Linked DNA regions of Zea mays. The protein of the gene in region 2 interacts with the protein of the main gene of each other region in a biochemical or structural test. Links are inferred from orthologs where the notes say so. Each region holds a gene or a part of one and is shown on either strand. Other genes may lie near its edges. The genes, in order: ADP-ribosylation factor 3 and protein GRIP.

Region 1 (3,729 bases), on a different chromosome or scaffold from region 2:
CTATCTCTATTCTATGTACACGTGACTTGCCGTACAGCGCAAACCTTTGCTTTCAGGTGACATCCTTGCTGACGTCAATTCGCAGGCCGTTTTGTCAGGCGGAGCTGTGAGCTGGTTCGTGCTAAGGCCAGCCTGGAGTGGACGCCCGGGCCTACCGGCAAATCTTTTTCCTGACACAGGAAGGAGGATTCAATCACGAAAACAGCTGCTCAATCCGCCCCCGAAATGCAACACTGCTCTTTCCCCAAGGAATATATACATTTTTTATAAAAAAAAACTCAGCCTTAAGATAATTTTATGATTGTATATCAATTCCAGCACAAAGTTCTTCACAAGCGAGTAAACACAGGTGTCCGATTAAACTCGCATCGCAACGTCTTGCGAGTTGCGACGGCTTCTGTAATGATCCCTCTGCCGCAAACGCGGTGACAGAGATTAAATGAAGTGTAAAAGTGGTAGCAGAAGGTGCTTAAGAGCAGTTTCTGTAATGATCACTGATACGAAAACATAGAAATGTGGAGTAAGTTTAATCATATTGGGGTACAAAAAAAAACTTGTCATGATCCATGAGATTTACGGGTAAAGACAGTAGCACAGTTTGCTCGTCATTTTCCACAGACCTATTCTTGATCTCAACCTGGGGGTACATCTAATGTAGTATCCAAAAAATTTAACACGCACTTTACAGATAATTGATGGCGGTGTAGAACTTCTGGAGTTAAAACAAAGAGAATGGGATTTGCGCGCTGACTTGCAAGCATCGGCTATTCTTTACCATCCAGCAAATGATTCATGACGAGGCGGAGGCTCCTTAGCTGCTTCCAGATTTGAGCGTGTTACTGAGCCTGCAATAATAGCCAACCATAAGTTGCTTCCTCCAATAATGTCTCCAGAGCATCACGTAAATGCAAAAGGCGTGTTTTTTTGTAATTAATACATAGAACTGCATCTTGATCCACGGACAGTACAGCCACTACTTGATAATGTAGGAAGAACTATTTTAACTGATGATACGAATGGTTTATTAAAGAAGTTCATCCACTTGTCATTATCTTACAGAAACATCGCTTAGGACATGAAAATTTGACCCCACTTACCAGTCCAAACCTTCGAAGAGCCCCTCTCCCTTTATTGCAGATGTTTTGAAAATCGCCCATTGGCGGCTCTTAATTTTGTGTAGTTCTAATGACTCTGTAATGGCAGCATCATCGAGTGCACCTGGAAGATCCTGCATGAAAACAACTAACATGTCAGATAAAATGCCAAAAAAAACACGGTACAGTACAGCAAAGCTACAACCTACAGGGTACAAGTAACATAAGGCACACAAGCTAAAACAAATGTCTTCTGCAAATGAGTACACCATGCTGAACTGCACACATATCTCATAGCAGCTATAGAAACCTCATCAAACAATTTGACAAGAGTGTGCAAGCTATATGCTGAAGGAGCCAAACATTTGAAACAGATGTTATAGCTACACTTCATATACAACCATGAACCATCTTAAAGCAGGGAGCTTGTGTAGCAGGGAAAAGATGACTATATTACCAAAAATACAGTACACTTCATATTGAAAGTAGTACAGGGCAAGTACAAATATCGACAGTCCAGTTTCATTTCCAACAACCAGCCCCGGCATCGCTCCCCGCGTGGTCGACTGGTCGACTCGGGCAGCGAAACCCTAGACGCTGCTGCCCCACTCCCCTTCTCTCCGCTGCCAGAGGGGCAGACCTAGGGCTGACAATGGGCTATAATTTTTGCACTATAAGATTTAAGGATCGAAGCGGGTTAGGATCGGGCTTTATTTCTAGTCATTTTTGAACTATAATTTATTTAGGGCCTTGACATTTTGTGAAGAACTATTTGGATCACAATCCATTACCACCCCTAGGCAGACCGGGATGCTCGCGCGGACCCCTAAGACGGTGGCAGCGAGGCATCCGCTTGTTGGCGTCGCGAGCGCCCGGATCCGCGCTCGGGACATGGTCTTGGTGGCCGTGGCGGTGCTGTGCGCCCACGTGGACGCCGCAGGTGGCGGACAGGGGCGGGGCGGACTAGCCCGCTGGCGGCGTGTGCGTGTCTCTCGGCGGTGGCGTGCTCGCCCGCCAGGTGTCCGCGTCCTACACGACCCGTGGCTGCTCCGCTGTGCGCCGTGGCACGTGCTGTCACGGGGCAGGGCGTGAGCTTCGGTGCTAGCGCCGGTCGGCAGTGCCATCGGCCTGCCGGTTGGCTGGCTCTTTGGGAGGATTTTGCGGCCCTCTTGCACGGTGCTCCTGGCGGCTCGGGAGGGGAGAGGTTGCAGGGGCTGTGTGCTCGCGGCCGCCGAGTTGTCGTCAGGGGGTGCAGCGACACTGGCCTGTGGCAGTGGGGCACTCGCCGCAAGGTGGTGCCCGATTCCGTGTGCCCGGCCGGTGGGGGTGGCATCCAACACAACTTTGCGGTAGCAAGCATGTCGATGTCCCTCTGGGAGGGTTTGGGCGGGATGTCAGGGCAGCGACGTTGGCGGAGGTAGCCTGCGTTGTCCCGGGGTCTTGGCTTGATGTTTGTGCTAGGGGACTTCTTGGACGAAAGCCTCGGCGACGGTGATGTCCATGGGCGTCGCTTCCCCTGTTGAGGGCGTCGCACTCCCCAGCACTGGCTTCCTTGGGTGAAAGCCCGGTCCATCTCGTACATGTGACGGTGGCATCCCCGATGTCACTACCTTCCTAAAGGCGTCGCTTTTGAAGTTCGTCTCGGCCACGACGTCACTTTTCGGCTGTTGCTTTCGCTTCTCAGCGTCCGGTATGCGGGTGGAGGTGCGGTCTTGCAACGTGAAGTCGGAGCTACTACGTCAAGGGATGTGGCTCGACAACGATGACGTGAGGCGAGCCCCCCTTCTTCGTAGGCTAGATTGCTTCAGAGGCTGAGCGTTTGTCGGGGCGGGGCGGAGGATCAAGTTTGGAAGTCTTTGTTGGTGAAGAATCGGAGCTGCCTCGCATGGGACGTCTCGAGGCTCGACAACAACGGCACACCGCGGTCTTCCTCCTTCCGTGCCAGTGTTTGGGTGTAATCATCGTCGGTTCTCCTTTGGCCTTGTGTTGCCCGTCTTGAGGAGTCGGAGCTACTCGCCCTTTGTATTGAGCTCGGCAACAATGACACTGGATGGTCTTTGTGTGTGGGACTGCCGTTGTCTGGGTTGCTTGTGCACCCTGTGTACGTTTTGGGCCCGATTTTCCTTAAAACTGGGTCAATTCCTTTCTTCTTAATTGAGAGGCAGAGCTCCTGCCATTACGTTCAAAAAAGTACAAATATCGACATTTTAGGCATTGAAGCGCTGACTGCTGATGCCTACGTCAATATTCATGTGCTTACATGCTAAGAAATATAAACATGAAGTTTAATTCTGATAATCACGGAAAATGACAAATTTAGCAATAGTATGAGAAAATGTTTCTTTTTACCTGCTTATTTGCATACACAAGGACAACTGCACCTTTAAGTTCATCCTCCTGCCATGTAAAGACGTGCATCAATTCAGTAAATGTAACATTTTTAAGGGCAACTCATGCTTACTAGCCTTTCTAATTTGGGGGTGAATAGACTTTCAATAAAAGAAATTCTGATTGTAGTTCTACAACAAGTGTGACTTAAAGGCATATGTGCCCTAGCTAATATTTCTAAGTTCCAGAGTGTCAAAATTACAAACATATCAATGTCGTTCAGAACTATAAGTAGATTCTAGATAAG
Region 2 (3,827 bases):
GCAAATAAGTTACCAATATTAATAAATAGTTTATAAAAAGATAATCCTAAGTTCCCACATGGATATAATCTTAAGTCCCCACATGAAAATGATAAAGTCTATTATTTTGATATAAATTTAGACATTATTTTAATGATTTTGGCCTAAAGATATATTTAAACAAAAATGTGATGTACTACAAAGTTATAGATCTCTTCGAGCTCTACAATTTTCATATAAACTTTATCTTCATCCGATTTCATATGTAAAAGTTATGATTTTATAACTATATTATTTTGCAGAAAAAGAAAAAACGGGTACCCGAATTCCGGGTACCCGTATCCGACCCGAATATCCGGGTATTTACCGGGTAGTACTCGCTCCGTATCCGACCCGAATCCGAAGCCATACTATCCGGGTATTACCCGTATCCGTCCTGAATCTAAAAAATACCCGTATCCGTATCCGAAAAATGGTCCCGAATCAGTATCCGTATCCGGTACCCGTTTCGGGTACGCTACCCGTTTTCACCCCTAGCATTCACCCAGTCAATGTCATTCTAATGCTAGCTGGCTGGAGCTATGTCCCATTCCTCCCTCCAAATAAGCACCAGATAGAAGATCTTGGTACTTAAAGCCATAACAGAACTTTTAGAATTCAACCATGTGCCCTACAACACCTTACTAACTAATTTTAGGTCATGCATTTCTACTATTAAAGATCACCAAACAAAAACAAAAAATGCCAAGAAACATTGCATTTACAATTTTACATACCTGCTCTTTCTCAAGCACTGATTGTTGCAGTTTCTCAAGAGAACTGTTTCTGACCTCCAAGGCAAGCCGTGTCTCATCGAGGTTAGCCCTCAACCTACACATGGTTTGAATTATATATTATGTTAAAATTAGCATGTCATTTTGGTAAGATTCAGGAAATATTGAAGATGCTAATTGCATCAGCAATGGAGAAACTACAGCCTACAGATATAAATATAGGACTATCACTATAATGGAGGAGCTAAGTTCAACGTAAACGTAGTCAGGATTCATATAACTATACAGTTCCACCCACCCAAAGAAAGAAGAGAAACAAAAACCTAGTGCTATTGCATGATGTTAAGAGATGACGCGTGCATTGTACAATGAGATATAGGATTATAACTATAATGGAGGAGCTGCAGCTCAACGTAGTCAGGCTCCATATAACTATGCCACTCAGTTTCACTCACCCCAAGCAAGGAGAGAAATGAAAGGCTTAATGATATATTTCACAACGTTAAAAATCACATTACCCATCTACAAGAATAAGAGAGATTTTCAAAGTTATACTAATTACCAGAGAGCTAAGTTGATGAGTCATATTGCAAAGCTATGGGAGAGTTATTGAGCATTATCCGAGAGGAATAACAAGGATCTCTATAAGCCAATTTGGTTTCATGCCCGGAAGGTCAATCATAGAAGTCATTTTCTTAACAAGACAAGTGATGGAGCAGTATAAGGAGCAGAAGAAGGACATACATATTGTTTCCATTAACTTGAAGAAGGCTTTAAAATACCAAAAAATGTTATGTATTGGCCTTCGAATAAACATAAAGTTCCAAGGAAGTACGTTGGAGGTTGGACACATTAAAAACATTTACAACGATGTCGTGACTAGTGTTCCTAGTGTTCAAACAAGTGATGGAGACATGGATGACTTCCTGATTAGAATAGGACTACATCAAAGGTCAGCTTTGGACCCTTAGCTTTTTTCTTGGTTTAGATAAGGTCACAAGGGACATATAAGGGGATATCCCTAGGTGTATTCTTTTTGCAGACGGTGTAGTGCTAGTTCATGAAAGTCAGGCAAGAGTAATTAGTAAATAGGAAACTAGAGTTGTGGAGGAAGACATTAGAGTACAAAAGTTTTAGACTTAGTAGAACTAAAATCGAATATATGGTATATGACTTTGATACTACTATACATGAGAAAGAATATGTTAGTTTGGAAGGCCAAGTAGTGCCCATGAGGGGTATCTTTTGGTATTTAAGATCAATGATACAAAGAAACGGGATATTGATGAAGATGTTAGCCATAGAATCAAAGCATAGTGGACGAAGTGGCGTCAAGCATCTAGCTAACTATGTGACAAAAAAGGTACCACAGAAGCTAAAAGGCAAGTTTTATAAGACGGGGACTAGACTTGCTATGTTGTATGATGTAGAATGTTGGTTTACAAAAAGACGACATGTTAAACAGATAAGTGTTGTGGAAATGTGTATGTTTCGTTGGATTTATGGCCACACAAGAAGAGATTAAGTCCAGAATGATGATATACATGTGATAGTTTAGGGATAGCACCGATTGAAGAAAAGCTTGTCCAATTGGTTGATATGGTTTGAACATGTCCAACAGAGACCTAACACTACTGTGTAGTGGGATCCTAAAGCGTGATAGCGATGGGAAGAGAAGCGAGAAAGACCAAAGTTGATATAGGAAGAGACAGTAAAAGGAGACTCAAAAATGGAATACATCCAAAATGTAGCTTTGAATAGGAGTACACGGAAAACAGCTATTCATGTGACTAGACATTGACTTGTGTTTTATGTTGGATTTCAACTCTAGCCTACACTAACTTACTTGAGACTAAAAGGTTTTGTTGTTGTTGTTGTTGTTGTTGTTGTTAAAATATGACACATGCATAGTACAATGAGATCAATAAAGTCACTCACTTGCTGTTCACTGTCCGCAACTGCTGTCTTTCAGCATCCATTGATCTTAAGCCCTCACTAGCCTGCTGACGAGCACGTTCCAGTTCCTGCTGTGCTGCTAATTGCAGAGAAGCAGCCTGCTCAGCCTTCTGATTAACTTCATTAAACCGAGCTTCCAGATCAACTTTTTCCTGTAAATGTGTTAGGGAAAAACACTAAAGTTCATGTTCTTGTTTCAATAATTCAGTATATGATGACAATGCTATTTGACATTCACGAAACATGACAAACAGGCAGCAAAGAGTCGATTACACCACAACAATCGTTGAATCAAATTGTATTAGTTCATGCTCAAGCTAATGTGCACATAGGACAGCAGAAATTTCCCTATTTAGGGAGATACTGGGGTAGTGAAGTAAAGGATCTATTATTGTCAAGCTAATGTGGATATAGGACAGACAAAATATTGGTTACTTGTTACCTTTTGTATATCTTGTATACGTTGTTTTGCACGCTTGAGAAGCCTCTGAAGCTTGGTTTCCAGCTCAAGATATTTGTCATCGCGTTCTTTTAGTTCCTTTTCCATTTTTTGTTCAGCTACATGCATGGAACTAATGATGAATTAGATTCTGAAACAAAAAAAGTAGCAGCAAGAACTAGGTTGTGTTACAGATAAAAATGATATAGCAAGGTGTAATATGATAAAGCTAAGATACAGCAAATCCAAAATAAAATTCAGAAGTTTATCCTCTTCAATAACTAAATGGCACTTTAGAAGTTATTGCATTGTACCACTATCCGTTGGCAAATCTAGGTAGAACGAAGCACAAGAAAACTGCAAAATGATAATGTATTCACAGTCATCTTACAATTACAACTTTCTCAGTTTTAAACCCTTTTAGAAAATAATCAACATGCAGAAGAGTTGTAATGAACTACAGAACATGACCATCTTTTCCTTGCACATGCCCAGAGGGCTCCATCTTCTCTATCGCGCACACATTAGCATGTGATTGGCTCAAAATATAACAATACATACATAGTCCATGAGTCATAGCACAGAAGCTTAATTGTTAATCCATTATGCAATTGCAGTCATTGTAATCATGGCAGTCATTGCAGGTCAACTTTGATGCCCTGATGTCTCCCTCTTCTCTA

What was found.
Region 1: the proteins of protein GRIP (region 2) and ADP-ribosylation factor 3 form a complex in vitro, tested with the Arabidopsis thaliana proteins (2 studies listed by BioGRID). The link is inferred for Zea mays from reciprocal best matches to the Arabidopsis thaliana genes ATGRIP and ARF3.

The regions. Positions count from the first base shown.
Region 1 is NC_050099.1:27,788,532-27,792,260, forward strand, and holds the end of ADP-ribosylation factor 3, read right to left. Parts: intron 3,492-3,729; coding exon 3,444-3,491; intron 1,229-3,443; coding exon 1,098-1,228; intron 846-1,097; coding exon 812-845; 3' UTR 511-811; downstream 1-510. UniProt on the Arabidopsis thaliana protein: GTP-binding protein involved in protein trafficking; may modulate vesicle budding and uncoating within the Golgi apparatus.
Region 2 is NC_050097.1:205,749,674-205,753,500, reverse strand, and holds part of protein GRIP, read right to left. Parts: exon of another isoform or gene 3,725-3,827; coding exon of another isoform or gene 3,709-3,724; intron 3,281-3,708; exon of another isoform or gene 3,277-3,280; coding exon of another isoform or gene 3,267-3,276; coding exon 3,151-3,266; intron 2,861-3,150; coding exon 2,691-2,860; intron 850-2,690; coding exon 756-849; intron 1-755. UniProt on the Arabidopsis thaliana protein: Golgi matrix protein playing a role in tethering of vesicles to Golgi membranes and in maintaining the overall structure of the Golgi apparatus.